2 linked regions of the Sus scrofa genome follow. The protein of the gene in region 1 purifies or fractionates together with the protein of each later gene. This does not show direct contact. Links are inferred from orthologs where the notes say so. Each region holds a gene or a part of one and is shown on either strand. Other genes may lie near its edges.

Region 1 (7,196 bases):
CACGTGGATGAACCCTGAGGGACCATGAGGGGATTATGCTAAATGAAATGAGAAGGAGAAAATACTTGTACATGGAACCTTAAAAAGTCAACCCACAAAAGCAGAGAGTAGACTGGAGGTTGCCAGGGGCTGGGGGCGGGGGACTGGGGGCTGGGGCTGGGGGGGGAATGGGGGTTGGGGGCTGGGGTTTGAGGGTGGGAGGGAATGGGGGTTAGGGGTGGGGGCCTGGTGGCGGGGACCTGGGGGCTGGGGGAACTGGGGGCGGGGGGTGGGGGACTGGGAACTGGGGGCTGGGGAGGGGCTGGGGACCATGCCGGCGGAATGGGGAAGTAGATGTTGGTCAGAGGGTACAGCTTCCAGTTATGAAATAAGTAAGTTCTGAGGATCTAGGAGCATAATGAGTGCAGTTAACAGCTCTGCAGAATATCCTGGAAATTTTCTCAGAGGGTAAAAATTAAGTTTCTCACCTTGAAAACCCCAGAGATAATTATACGAGGTGACAGATGTGCTAATTGGCTTGAGTGCAGTAATTACTTCACAAATCACCTTAAATATGCTTTTTGTCAATTAACCACCGCAAACACGGGGGGAATGAGAGTCTCTTCTGCCTGGACGGGTGGTGGGCTCAGATGCCTTTTTACTGCCACCTCCTTCTTACGCTTTGTGCTGGGCACGTGAGGGCATTGTTTCCTTATTTCTTCCAAAGAACTTTATCGCTAAAAAGAGAGAGGCCTCCCAGGGGCTGAGCAGGAAGGAAGCAGTTGTGTTTTGAGGGATAAGAGTGCATATTACAAACACAAACTGCCTCTCATTCATTCATTCCCTCTTGCATTTATTCATCCTTTAAACACACCCGGAAGCACTTATTATTGGGCTCTGTATTATTGCATGTTTTTAAATATTTACTCATTTAATTCCCATAACAGCCTGATGAAGTAGGGCTACCTGTTATTTCCATTTTATAGGCGGGAACACCAAAGCCCAGAGGGGTTAAGTAACTTGTGTAAAGTCACACCGTTGTGGCTCGAACACAAACTGAGGCATTTTTGCCGCAAACCCTCCTTCCTTACATGAAAATGTGCGGCTGGGGGTTTGACTCGAGCTCCTACCAGCTGCAGGACCACAGACCTCACGGGAGTTACCACATCAAAAAAATATGACCTGTGGTTTGTGGTTTATCTGATAGTCAAGGTTACCAGGGAGTTCTATGTTTTTATTTGCTACCTTTGCCAACCCTGGTGAGACTAGAACAGACAATGCTGCTAACTCAGCCAAAAGGTGGGGAAAAAAAAAAAAAAAAAAGAGTCTTCGTTTGAGAGAAAAAGGGCAGTTGTTGAATCTAGAGAAGAATTCTTTCCGATAGACGGGAAAACGGGGAGAGGGCACCTCCCAGGAAAACAGTGGAACTTATAGATCGTACGGTTTGATAGGCGTGTAAAATTACATGGAGAGTCGATCGACTATTGTGGAAAGAACAAGATACGGATTCCAGGAACGCTGTGCAGAGGGAAATAGAACATACCGTGACTGATCTTAGGGAAAACAAATACGAAAAAATACATAGGGAGGTTGTAAGGCTCAGGTGTGGATAATATTTGCACAGTCTTAATAATGTGATTATAAAACAATGATGTCACCCAAAGGCATAGAACAGGGAGAAATCCAGGATTCCCACAACTTGAGGTCCTTTTTGTTTTGTTTTGTTTTCATTCTTTTAGGGCTGAACCCGAAGCATATGGAGGTTCCCAGGCTAGGAGTGGAATCAAAGCTGTAGCTGGCGGTCTACACCACAGCCACAGCAACGCGGAATCCAAGCCACATCTGTGAGCTACACCACAGCTCACGGCAATGCCAGATCCTTAACCCACTGAATGAGGCCAGGGATCAAACCTGTGTCCTCGTGGATGCTAGTTGGGTTTGTTAACCACTGAGCCATGATGGGAATGCCTGAGGTCTCAAGATATAATGCGGGAGACCCCATCTGGATCTAATATACTGCATGGGGATTATAGCTAATAGTACTGTCATCTATCCTGGAAAGTTGCTATGGGACCACCTCTTAAATTTTCTCCCTCCCTGAAAAGAAATGGCAACGACTCATGGGGATGGAGCTGTTAGCTAGGACTACCCGTGGTCACCGTCTGGTAACTTACAAATGTATCAAATCGACACTGTCCGCCTCCTTTTTTTTTTTTTTTTTTCCTTTTAAGCCTAGAAACCCAGGTTATTTTATTTTTAATATTTTCTAGAAGAGGAAATTCTGTATTTTATAAACTTTAAAGCTTGCACGGATACATTAAAAAAATGTTAAATTACATTGCTGTGGTTGTGGTGCAGGTTGGCGGCTACAGCTCCGATTGGACTCCTAGCCTGGGAACCTCCATGTGCTGCTCTAAAAAGGAAAAAAAAAAAAAGCAAACCTAAAATTGACCGTTAATGACATTCAATCCACTCACGGTGCTGTGCAAACACCACCCCTGACCAGTTCCCAGACTTTCTAACTACTCCAAAAGGAAATCCCGAGCTCCCTGCAATCACGCTTCACTCGCCGCTCTGCGCAGTCCCCATCAGCCAACTCATCCAGGTCTTTGGCTGGATTTATCTCTTCCGAACATTTCAGATACGTGGACGCATAATGATCGTGGCCTTTTATGGGTGGTGTCATTCACTTCGGCTATGCCGGGGGCGAGGCGGGCCACGCGACCAAAGAAAGCGAATGCGGGCAGGTTTCCTACAGCGCGGCCCAGCGCGCAGGAAGCGTGGGCTCCCCCCGCCCGGCCCTGGTAACGGACTCTTTCCTTCTCTCCTCAGGGCTGTGTCTGGGGCAGGTGACACACGCTCAGACAGGTGAGTCCAGATCCCTCTTGTGGGTTCAGCCAGCGGGAGGGAGCCGGAGCGCCCAGGAGGGGGCGCCCTTTGGCCGCTGCCCTCTAGGAGGCTCCGCTTCCCTTCCAGGCGCCCTGCCCAAGCCCTCCCTCCAGGCCCTGCCCAGCTCCCTGGTGCCCCTGGGTAAGTTGGTGACGGTCCGCTGCCAGGGGCCACCAGACGTGGACTTGTACCGCCTGGAGGAACTGCGGTCCGGAAAGTACTTTGACCAGGCGGTCCTCTCCATCCCGGTCATGGAACAAAGATTCGCCGGCCGCTACCGCTGCTCCTACCAGAACGGGACCCTCTGGTCTCCAGCCAGCAACACGCTGGAGCTGGTCGCTACCGGTAACAGGGGGGTGGGGAGGGTGTGGCTGGACGTGTAGCCACAGGCTCCAAGTGGGCGGCAGGGGAGGGGGTGATGAGGGCTGGAAATCGAAAGCCCCCCTACCCCCGGAGTTCCCGTCGTGGCGCAGTGGTTAACGAATCCGACTAGGAACCATGAGGCTGCAGGTTCGATCCCTGGCCTTGTTCAGTGGGTTAAGGATCCAGCGTTGCTGTGAGCTGTGGTGTAGGTCGCAGACGCGGCTCGGATCCCGCGTTGCTGTGACTCTGGTGTAGACCGGTGGCTGCAGTTCCGATTGGACCCCTAGCCTGGGAACTCCATATGCCAGGGGAGCGGCCCTAGAAAAGGCAAAAAGACAAATAATAATAATAATAAAGCCCCCCCCGGGGGGGCCTGGGATGAGGGTGTGGCAAGTGAGGCTTTGGTCTTGAATGCTAAATTTAGGAGAAGTGCCAAAAACTTCAGGAATCTCCATAAGTAATGTTAATGATATACCTTGGGGAAAAAAAGCCCAAATCAATGCAAAAACATGAAAGACATAGAGGATATCACAGTTTTAAGGAAGATCAGTCCCATTGCCTCTGTCCACCAGTGCCCCATAGAAACTCCGCGACAGAATTTTGGGTGAAGGAGGAAAAAAAAAATATTGCTTTGCCAGGCAGAGGAGGCGGCGGCAGGCAAATGCCTTAAAGACGGTGTCCTCCACTGGAAGAAGGGTAGGGAGTTTCGTAGTAAAAAGCAGATAAGACAGGTTTTTGCATAGGAATCGGAATTGGGGCAGACATGCGTGCTTCTTTCTTTAGGGGAAGCCTAGTCATCGAAGCTGGCCTCAGGGGATCTCAGCGTGGTGGTCTTGTCTAGAATAACAGTACCTGTGAAGGGGGGGGTCTTGATCAGAAATTAGAACAAACTAGGAAAGTTCCTGAAAAACATCAGGTACTAATAATCTTTAACCCACAGGCAATTGAGCTCAGGGTGCCGAGTCTGTAGCTCACAGGTGAAGCAGTTAAGCCAGGGAGAAGCACAAGGAAGGGCTGCAAGCTTTACATTTTTAAAGTATTCATTTCTCAAAGAAGCATAAGGAATGTAACTCTTCTTTCTAGGTGCATAACATGCCTACGTTGTTCTGTGCATCCCTTGGGAGAGAACCAGGACCTTGTCCCAGGGCGGTACCATTCTTCCTTGACTGTGCCTCCAGGGCGTTTGCGTCCCCTCCCTTCCCCAATCATCAACTGTCTGAACCTGTCGCTCGGAACCCAGGGAAGGCCAGGGAGGCTGAATGAGGCCCATTTCCTAAAAACTAGAAATGGGGGACATGGAAAGGCTTTTGTGCCCAGGACTCCCCTCCCCCTGCCCCCAGCCCTGCTCAGTGACAGTACCATCCGAGCCATATCCGAGGCTGATGCAAGGAAAAAATGTGTACCCCTCTATCCATGTTCTATTTTTTCATGGAATAAAATGTTCTCAGCTTATCCTTTTATTTCTAAAGCATTTTACCTTTTTTTTTTTTTGGCTGCACCTATGGCACATGGACGGTCCCCAGCCAAGGATCGAACCCATCACCACAGCAGTGACCTGAACCACAGTAGTGACGACGTGGGATCTTTAACCCTCTGAGTCACCTAACTCCGCTAACGCATTACGAAATTTTTTTCCAAAGTAGATTTTAAAATATTGATGAGTTTTTGCTTCCGTGATAATAAATTCTGGTTTTTTTTTTTTTTTTTTTTGTATAAACTTAAAATACTGTAAGTTTTAGTAACTTACAGTAAAAAAATCTTTTTAGGGCAGCACCTGTGGCATATGGAGCTTCCCAGGCTAGGGGTCGAATCAGAGCTGTAGCCGCCGGCCTACACCACAGCCACAGCAATGCCAGATCCAAGCCTTGTCTGCAACCTACACCACAGCTCATAGCAACGTAGGATCCTTACCCACTCAGCGGGGCCGGGGATTGAACCTGCGTCCTCATGGATACTAGTCCGGTCCTAACCCGCCGAGCCCCAAGAGGAGCTCCTCAGACGCTGTGACTACCGAGTGCCAGGTGTGGATTGCGAGGATAGTGACATCAAATGACCTACATGGCAGGGTCAGTTCGTGTTTTAGACCTCGCCATGGCTCCCCGGGGCACAGCTGGATTCTGTCTTTGTTTAAAGCCTGGATATTCTATTCCCTGTACATGTGTCTGCCTCCCAGGAGAGTGCCTAACTCACTTTACCCTCATTCCAGGCCCTGAGGTCCTGGCACCAGTGGTTTTTGGGGACTGACTCAAGGCTATCGTCTCATTAAGTATCTCCCTCCCCATCCTATTTAAAATCTACCCCGATTTAAAACGGCACTCATCGTTTGCCACCTATTTACTTATTTATTTGCCTCTGGCTAGTCTTTCTTCCCAGTGGGCTTCCTTCTTAGAAAACAGAGACGAACACAAAATAGTTGCTCAGAGCAAACACCAATATTGAATGAATTATCAGGCACCTTTTGCTGCTGTGAGTAGGGGATTCCAGGCGTGGTCGGCCATGCTCTAGGATGATAAAAATATCAAATTACACGGCAGGGTAGGCTCACATTTGGACAGCCTGGAGCCCACCTCTGTGATTGCACATTTCAGCTCTGCCACTTCCTGTCTTGTGATCTTGGACCAAGTGATTGAGCAATGTGCATCTTAGGTTTTTGTTGTTTTTTTTTTTTTGAGATGTTTATTTTACAATGCTTTTTATTTTTTTTCCATTGCATCTTAGTTTTACGTACAAAGTATGGACACTCTTAGGTCTTTGTGAGGACTCAGTGAATGGATATATGTCACGGGCTGGAACAGCACCTGGAATCTGGTACTTTTTTTTTTTTTCATTTTTTAAAGTTTTATCGAAGTATAGTTGATTTTCAAGATTGGTAGTTTCTTCTGTGCAACAGAGTGATTCAGTTATACATATAGACACATCCATTCTCTTTCAGAGTCTTTCCCCCCATAGATGATCACAGAATATTGGGTAGAGTTCCCTGGTGCTAGGTAGCCGGTCCCTGTGGCATCTGGACTTTAATACAAGTTTCCGATAAGTTTACAGTATAAGCTTAAGCTATTTTGTCACCACCATCATATTTTGGGTGGTCGTTGTGCATTACGTATTCTATTAAATGCTTATTAGTACATATTGCCTCAGGCAATCATTTTATTTATTTATTTATTTATTTACTTTTTAGGATGTCGCCTGCTGCATACAGAGTTTCCCAGGCTAGGGGTTGAATCAGAGCTGTAGCTGCCTGACCTATGCCAACAGCTACAGCAACGCCAGATCCGAGCCTTGTCTGCAACCTACACCACAGCTCATGGCAATGCTGGATCCTTAACCCACTGAGTGAGGCCAGTGGGATCGAACCCACGTCCTCATGGATACTGGTCAGATTCTTTACTGCTGAGCCACAATGGAAACTCTCCCGTTTTAATTTTTTTTAACTAAACATTTTTTAGGAGTTCCTGTCGTGGCGCAGTGGTAAACGAATCCAACTGGGAACCATGAGGTTGCAGGTTCGATCCCTGGCCTTGCTCAGTGGGTTAAGGATCAGGCGTTGCCATGAGCTGTGGTGTAGGTTGCAGATGTGGCTTGGATCCTGAGGTGTTGTAGCTCTGGTGTAGACCGGTGGCTAACAGCTCCGATTCGACCCCTAGCCTGGGAACTTCCATATGTCGCGGGAGCGGCCCTAGAAAAGGCAAAAAGACAATAAACAAACAAAGAAACTTTTTTATTCAAGTGAAGGGTTGTGTCAATTTCCATTTACAGTGTTGTGTCAATTTCCGATGTCCAGCATAGCGATCATTCCCATTTTACAGTAGAGAAGGCCGAGGCACAGATACAGGGGGAGATCTGTCTAACCGCTCAGCTGCACAAAACCAGGATTTGCTCGAAGGCACTGTGATGTGACTCTTGCCAGGCTCCCTTAACCCCTCGGGGAGGGGTGGTGGGAGGGTGGGTTCTCTGGGACCGACACA
Region 2 (7,196 bases), on another chromosome or scaffold:
ATTGGAGCTGTTGCTGCCAGCCTACACCAGAGCCACAGCAACATGGGATCCGAGCCATGCCTGCGACCTACACCACAGCTCACGGCAACGCCGGATCCTTAACCCACTGAGCAAGGCCAGGAATTGAACCCACAACCTCGTGGTTCCTGGTCGGATTCTTTAACAACTGAGTCTGTTTAGGTTTTTCTTTTTTGAAGGAATTTAGCATTCTCCTGCTGTTAAATGAGGATGAGGTGTTGCTAACCAGTATTTGTCCCAGGGTGGAAAAGCCACTCACCTCCTTTTCTGGATGTGTTGGCGGATGTCTCCTTGTGATAGAGGGTTTCTCAGCTGTCTGTCTCATTAGACTATCTAGCTGAGCTTATGTCATGAGCATCCCAGGGGTATATTTGCCTGTCAGACCCTCAGGTATTACTGTGATTAACCCAGAGTCTCTGCATGTAAAATGTGCCTTCATTTAGTGTTCATAAAAAAAAAAAAAAAAAAGACATTGCCACACACATCGTCAACAGCACTCTTAAGTCAAACTCATCGTAAGAAACTTTAGGATTCTTAGGCCGAGGCTTCCCTTTCTGGGGAGAACAGGTCAGCTTCCTCTTTTCTGGTGAAAGCCCTGTGACACAGGCTGCCCTCCGACCCTTCCTGCCAGGAAGCCACTTGGGCAAATCTACTACCCATCAGGTTCCACTTTTCTTTCTCTGCTTTTCCCTGCCCTTAGTTTTCTGTTTCCAGCTTCTTAATTAATGTTATTATTATTATTATTATTTTTGTAAAAAGCATTTTGAATCCTTCTGAGAAAGAAGCAGGCTATAAAAACAATCTCTGTAGCATCATTAATTAAAAAAAAAAAAAAACAACAACCTACAAGTTTCAAAATAGCCATTCTTTGGCCAAAGGGGAAAAAATGCGCAGGCTTTAGGCCAAAGCTGTGTGAGTCCACCCTTCACTAGTGCTGTGACTTTGAGCCAGTTCACCTCATGCCTCAGTTTACACCTCTGTAATGTGGGGTTAATAATACCTGGGTCTTGGAGTTCCTTTGAGGATTAAATGAGATGCTCAGAAAATTACAGATGCTTAATTGAAAAATACTAAGGTGTGAGTCATGGTAAAGCACAGCTCCTATCAGTCGAAATCGTCGAAATCATGTAACTGTTCTGTTTTTTTTGGGGTGCATTGTGTTTTGTGCTTTTCTGATACCTTTGCACAGCTAAAGAATTGAGGACCTGGTGTGAGCTGGTGGTGTTTATCCCATGCTACAAGGGGAGTGCTCTTTGAGCTTTTTTGCTGAAGTGTTTGCACACAGTGCCCCAAATTCAAAGCTCAGTGCCAGGGCAGAGAGAGGCCACTAACTCCATGGGGAGCCCTGTCCTGCTGCTTTCCTCTAGAGGAAAACAGGACATACACCTGGTTTTCAGTTATCCATGGTGATGGGGGACGGGAAATGATGAAATAGGCATAAAAAAATGATCATCTGCAGATTTTACCATCCCTCCCACATCCACCTGCTTTTCATTTTCATTCTCTGTCTTCCTTCCCATGGCTGCTGCCCCTGAACCATCTCCATCACCCTTCACAGGTCTGGCTCAATGACTCCCCTCCATATAACACCTGCCAAGTGCTCTTCTAACCTCATCTGCTGCCTTCACACACGCATGTGTGCATGCACTACATGGGTTCCTAATATTTGGGGAAAAACTGTTTTTGCATAAATTGTTCATACTATCTTCTTATTTTCTCCCCTTCCAACTTTTTATTTTGAAAATTTCAAATGTATAGGAAAAAGAAAGACTATCCTTACCCAGATGCACTAATTTCTTACTGTTTTGCCACATTCGTCTCTACTCTCCATCTCCCCCTCCCTTTTCCTTTTGGGTGGAGGTGTTGAAAGTTGCACACTCCCAGAGCCCCCATCCCTAATCCGCCTCGCCTGCATCTCCTCAAATGTGGACATTCTCCCGCATGACCGCGGTGCCTTCATCACGCCTATAACACACACAAGGTCCAGGATCCTGTCTACACATATTCGGATTCCCCCAGTGATCCAGCCACGTCCTCCTCCCACCCACGCCCATTCATTCAGGGCAGCAGCCGAGCGCACAGTCCTTGCATTCTTGTCGTGAGCACTCCCAGAGCATCTGCTCTCTGTCGGCACTGGTGGAGGTGCTGGGAACATTACAGGGAAGAAGCAGGCTTGGGGCTGGCCCTTCCGCTATGGTCCACCTGGGGAGCTGACCTTAAATAAACCCACACGTAACGGAATGTCGGTCCTAATAAGAAACACGAGAGTGAAGCGTGAAAAGTGGGCAGAGGGGAGCTTGGTGAAGATCTGTCTGGGGAGGTAACATTTGTGTCCAGATCTGAAAAAAGACAGAGCTGGAAAGGGATAGAGAGCGCGCGCGAGGGCCCGGGAAAAAAAGGGGCTGTCCCAAGCCGGTGCGCGTGCGTCTGGCCCGGGGAGCGCGCAGACCTGACCCGCGTGCGTCGTGGGCGGGGGAGCGCGCAGGCCGGGCGCGCGCGTGCGTCCTGAGGACCCTCGGGGCTCCTCCCCTGGGAGCTCAGGGTGCCTTCCAGGGTCCGTACCGGATGGTTTTTGCGCCACCTCGTTCTCTTGGTTCTGCAGCACCGTTTCAATGGCGATGATTTAAACCCAGCTTTCCTGAGGGGTGGAGATGGGTGGGACTGGCCAGAAAAGAACACCCCTGTTTATTTACAGATCAGCTAGAAAACCCACCTCCATTACAGAAACTTTAGCACATGAAAAAAAAAAAAAAAAAAAGTGCTGTTTTGAGTCAAAGAACTACTTGCTTCCCCTTTATTTTGGGAACTACAGCTCGCTAGTTTCAGAAAGAGGTGTGACTGTCCTTAGAGGCTCCCTACGTCAACCCAGGAAAAGATAAACAAGGCGCAGATCGAAGTCCTCCTGGAAGCCTGGGGAACTAAACGGGACTAGGGGCAGGATGAGCTGGGAAAACAGTGCAGAGGGTGACAGACAAGTGGTCCTGAGGTTTCCTAGAACAGTTCCTCCTCCAGGAGGTGTGGCGAATTCCCACCACTCGCCTTCCCTGTGTGAAACCATCTCTCTGAAGTTCTAGGCCAGGGTCCCCACTGGCAGTGCTTCAGAATGACACCCATCAGCGGGGGAGCACCTCCCACCCCACCCCCGGAGGGATGCCTGGTGCGGGAGAACTTCCTGGCCCGTGTCCCAGGACTCTGTTCCATGAGCCCAGGGCATTCTGGTGTTCTTTCAGGTTTGGGAACGGGCCCTCTAGGACCCTCTGATGGAGCTCCTAATAGATTTTGTTTCTTTTTAAATGTATACATTTGACCCCAAGGCTGTAGTGTGAGGCCAGAGTCCTGTGCTATTTCAGTGCTGTGACCCCCTCTTTAGTCTCCAGAGTGCTTTGGGGGGTGTTCTATGCATCCCAGTCCTAACGGAGTGAACAAAGAAGAGTTATCATTTGGAAGCGTGATTACGTCCTTGCTGGCTGAGCACTAGCCATCTTCTGAGGCTGGCTCTCCCCTGAAGCCTCAGTCACAGGCATGGCCGTCTGATGGCACCTGTTTGTGCCCCCCAGCTCCACCATCTCTCCTGGTGTCCTCACTCACAAGTCTTACTGGGAAGACTACTGGCTGTGATTGTTTGGGGGTTCCTGTAAACATCTTTTCTCCCACATCCTAGTCCCCTCTTTTATTTTCAGTCTAGGTGAAGGCCACCTCTGTTCCCCAGGCCCCAAGCCACATTGGGCTGGCGCCTGGCTCTGTGCCTTCTGGCTCTTAATCATGCTCGCCCTTGAAGCCCCAGGCCTCTCACTTCACCTTGCAAGGTGGCCTTGGCTTTCAGCTGTGCCTCCTCTCCAGCCCTCCTCCTGGACTTCCTTACTTGTTCCCTGAAGGGATCGGCTTAAACTAATTCCCTGAAGGGGCCGTGTGAGCTCAGGGCCAATACTTTGCACATGAAGTTCCTTCTTCCCAGAATCTCGTTGCTGCCTTTGCCACCCAGCTGACATCACCCGCATTTTGAATCACAGAGCATTTCCTTCCAGATGCTTCCCTGACATCCTTTTCCTCTTGCCTCGGTTCCACGTCCTTTCCTCTGTCCTGTGCATCCTCTCATCATTGACTTGCCACATTGTAGTGTAATTTTCATTCACACGTCTTCGCCACAAGATTAGGAGTGTCTTTAGAGCAGGAATTATGTCTTGCAGACATAGAATTGATTCTCCATAGTTGTCGAATGAATGAATGCGTGCATGCATGAACAAGCAGCTGATTTGTGAACAGCATCCCCTTTTGAGTTTGTGAAACCATCTGTGATGAAAAAATCAAAGTATGTTCTTTTTGCTCTTCGTTAATGGAGGGATTTTGGTGGCTTGGAGCCAGTTCTAGAATGGTAAAACAATGCCGTTACTTTTCTGTTCCAACAGGAACTATGGGATGTATAAAATCAAAAAGGAAAGACAATCTGAATGACGATGGAGTAGATTTGAAGACTCAACCAGTACGTAATACTGACCGCACTATTTATGTGAGAGATCCAACGTCCAATAAACAGCAAAGGCCAGTAAGTAGATAGTCTCAGGGGAGCCTTCCCACAGCAGGATCAAAGCATGGCTGCATAATTTAAACATCAGATCTGTACCATGTTCATGCAAAAAAAAAAAAAAAAAAAAATCCTGTCAGTTACTTGGGCCTCAAATAATTTTTTTTTTCTTTTGCCACTGCGCTCACGGCATATGGAACTTCCCAGGCCAGGGATTGAATCTGAGCCACTGCAGAGAAAATATCAGATCCTTAACCCACTGCACCGCAGCGGGAACTCCCTCAACTATTTTTTTATATACTTTGTAACTTACTCCTTTAAAGAGTTTATAAATATTTCCAGGAAAACCAGGCCACTTATTGTACAATAAAGGGGCCTTTGGTCGCCTTCTTATGTGTGGGGGTAATCACCTTTCATTATCACTGGTGTGAAAACACGCCCTTCATGTATAAAAATATGTCTCTGAGCTTGCGTGATTTCAGATTGGTAGTGGGATTAGTGCAGTGGTCTGGAAGCAGAGGAAATGCTGGATTCAAGTCTGAAGCCAAAATAGGTGCTAATATGTCCTTTGGCATATCACACTTTACCCCATCTTGTCATTCTTAGGTTAATTCAAAAGAGTACGAACACTGAAGTTGTCATGACTTATTACAGAGAATTAAAAGATTTTATTAAAAACCACAATCAATTTTGTCCTCTAACTTTGGACAGATATCTGTACCAACATTTTTATACAAGTGATGTACTATTTGATGCATTTGAGAAATGCTTGGCAAAGGAAGAACTAATATCTCATATGGAAAAGAGGAACAGAGCTTTGGATAATTATAACCCTCAATGCATTTTATTTCAGATCTTGTATCCTTTCCATCTATTCGTCCACTATATATATGTACATCTCCCTTTGCCTGGTTTTTATGGAATTTCTCAGCATTTAAGCTGGAAGCAGGTTATTTCAGGTTAGCCCAAATGCCTTCATTAAGAGATTTTAGGGTTCCCTGGTGGCTCAACGGGTTAAGCATCCAGCGTTGTCACTGCTTTGGCTCTGGTTACTGCTGTGGTGCAGGTTTGATCCCTGGCCCAGGAACTTCTGCATGCCTCGGGCTCAACCCCCCACCCCCCAAAAAAAGAAAAAAGAAAAAGCAGTGGAGCTGAAGAGTGAATTTATATTATGCTATTAATTATCATATATGATATTTCCAGGTACATAAGTTAACTTTGTAATTTTATATATAGACACTCAAATTGTATAAGATTATTAATAACTTTAACAATTAAGTAATTGTAAGTACATATAAAAGTAATATTTTAAAACACATCACATGAATAGGTATAGGCATGGAGCTATACATGTAAATATGACTAATAGAAAATGAACTAGTACAAGGAATTGGAGTCACAAATAGTTTTCTTATTATACACTTCAAAGATCTCATAAAAAGGATCTGGCTTTTTCTGGTATCATGTGCTGTATAGATGTTACATGCTTTAAAAGGTTTTTTTTTTTTTTTTTTAAAGAGATTAAAGAATATGTCCTTTATTCAGAAAAGCAAAGGGAAACCGTATGAACTCATGCACCATTTTTCCTATTATTAAGAGGAAAGGAAGTTAAGGGTTTTCTTGTGGCACAACTGGCGACAGATTCGATGCTGTCACTGTTGTGGTGCAGGTTCAATCCCTGGTCCGGGAACTTCCATATGCTGCATGTATGGCCAAAAGAAAAGAGTAACAATTACAAAGTTAAAAATTAAGTTAGAAAGCAGAAGTGGTAAACGTGCTTGAAGTCTCTCAGTTCCCACATGTACGGGAGCATTTACTTGTGCCTCTGGTTACGGAGGCCCTTGGTCATGGACCTTCTTCCACGGCCGTAGATAACACTCGGCTCCCCCAGCTGTGCGCACTGCCCCCTGGATTTGTCACAGGAGGCCTAATGTGACGGCGAGGCTGAGTTGCTGCCAGTTCAACAAGATCCTAAGGAAAAGACATCTTACAAAGAGAGCATGATGATAGAAGTATTCCATACGAGTATTTTTGTCTTCTGCAAAGTGTGTTGAAACATTTGTGAACGAAAGACACTTTGATGTGTGAGAATCAGCTTGCTGCTTTCCGAATAACTACATTCGTTTCTCATCTTCTGATGCTTTCCTCTAACTCATCTAAAATTGGTCAGAATTCCTAATTTTGCAAATCTAAATGAATTCAAAATCAGTATAAAACGTCTTAAAATAAGTATTTAAGGATAATATGGACCCAAGATTTTCTGATACCAGGGAGATAGTCTCCAGGTCCCCACCCCAACCATCCGATTGGCTGACTTTGCTAAGACATTTAAATTTCAGTACTAACTGTTTTGTTCCCAATTCCATGAGATCACTTTAATCAAAGGGCAACATGCTTTGTGGGTATAAGCCATGACAATACCTTCTTTAACCGAGGCCCAAGAGGAGTTCCTGTCGTGGCTCAGTGGTTAACGAATCTGACTGGGAACCATGAGGTTGCAGGTTCGATCCCTGACCTTGCTCAGTGGGTTAAGGATCTGGCGTTGCCGTGAGCTGTGGTGTAGGTCGAAGACGCGGTTCGGATCCCGCATTCCTGTGGCTCTGGCATAGGCTGGCAGCTACAGCTCCGATTAGACCCCTAGCCTGGGAACCTCCAT

The links.
Region 2: the proteins of GP6 (region 1) and LYN purify together in Homo sapiens (affinity purification with western blotting; 5 studies listed by BioGRID and IntAct, with this or other methods). This does not show direct contact. The link is inferred for Sus scrofa from reciprocal best matches to the Homo sapiens genes GP6 and LYN.

What each region holds. Positions count from the first base shown.
Region 1 is NC_010448.4:59,229,454-59,236,649, reverse strand, and holds part of GP6 (platelet glycoprotein VI), read left to right. Parts: intron 1-2,811; coding exon 2,812-2,847; intron 2,848-2,955; coding exon 2,956-3,213; intron 3,214-7,196.
Region 2 is NC_010446.5:75,847,617-75,854,812, reverse strand, and holds part of LYN (tyrosine-protein kinase Lyn), read left to right. Parts: intron 1-4,424; coding exon 4,425-4,561; intron 4,562-7,196. UniProt on the Homo sapiens protein: Non-receptor tyrosine-protein kinase that transmits signals from cell surface receptors and plays an important role in the regulation of innate and adaptive immune responses, hematopoiesis, responses to growth factors and cytokines, integrin signaling, but also responses to DNA damage and genotoxic agents.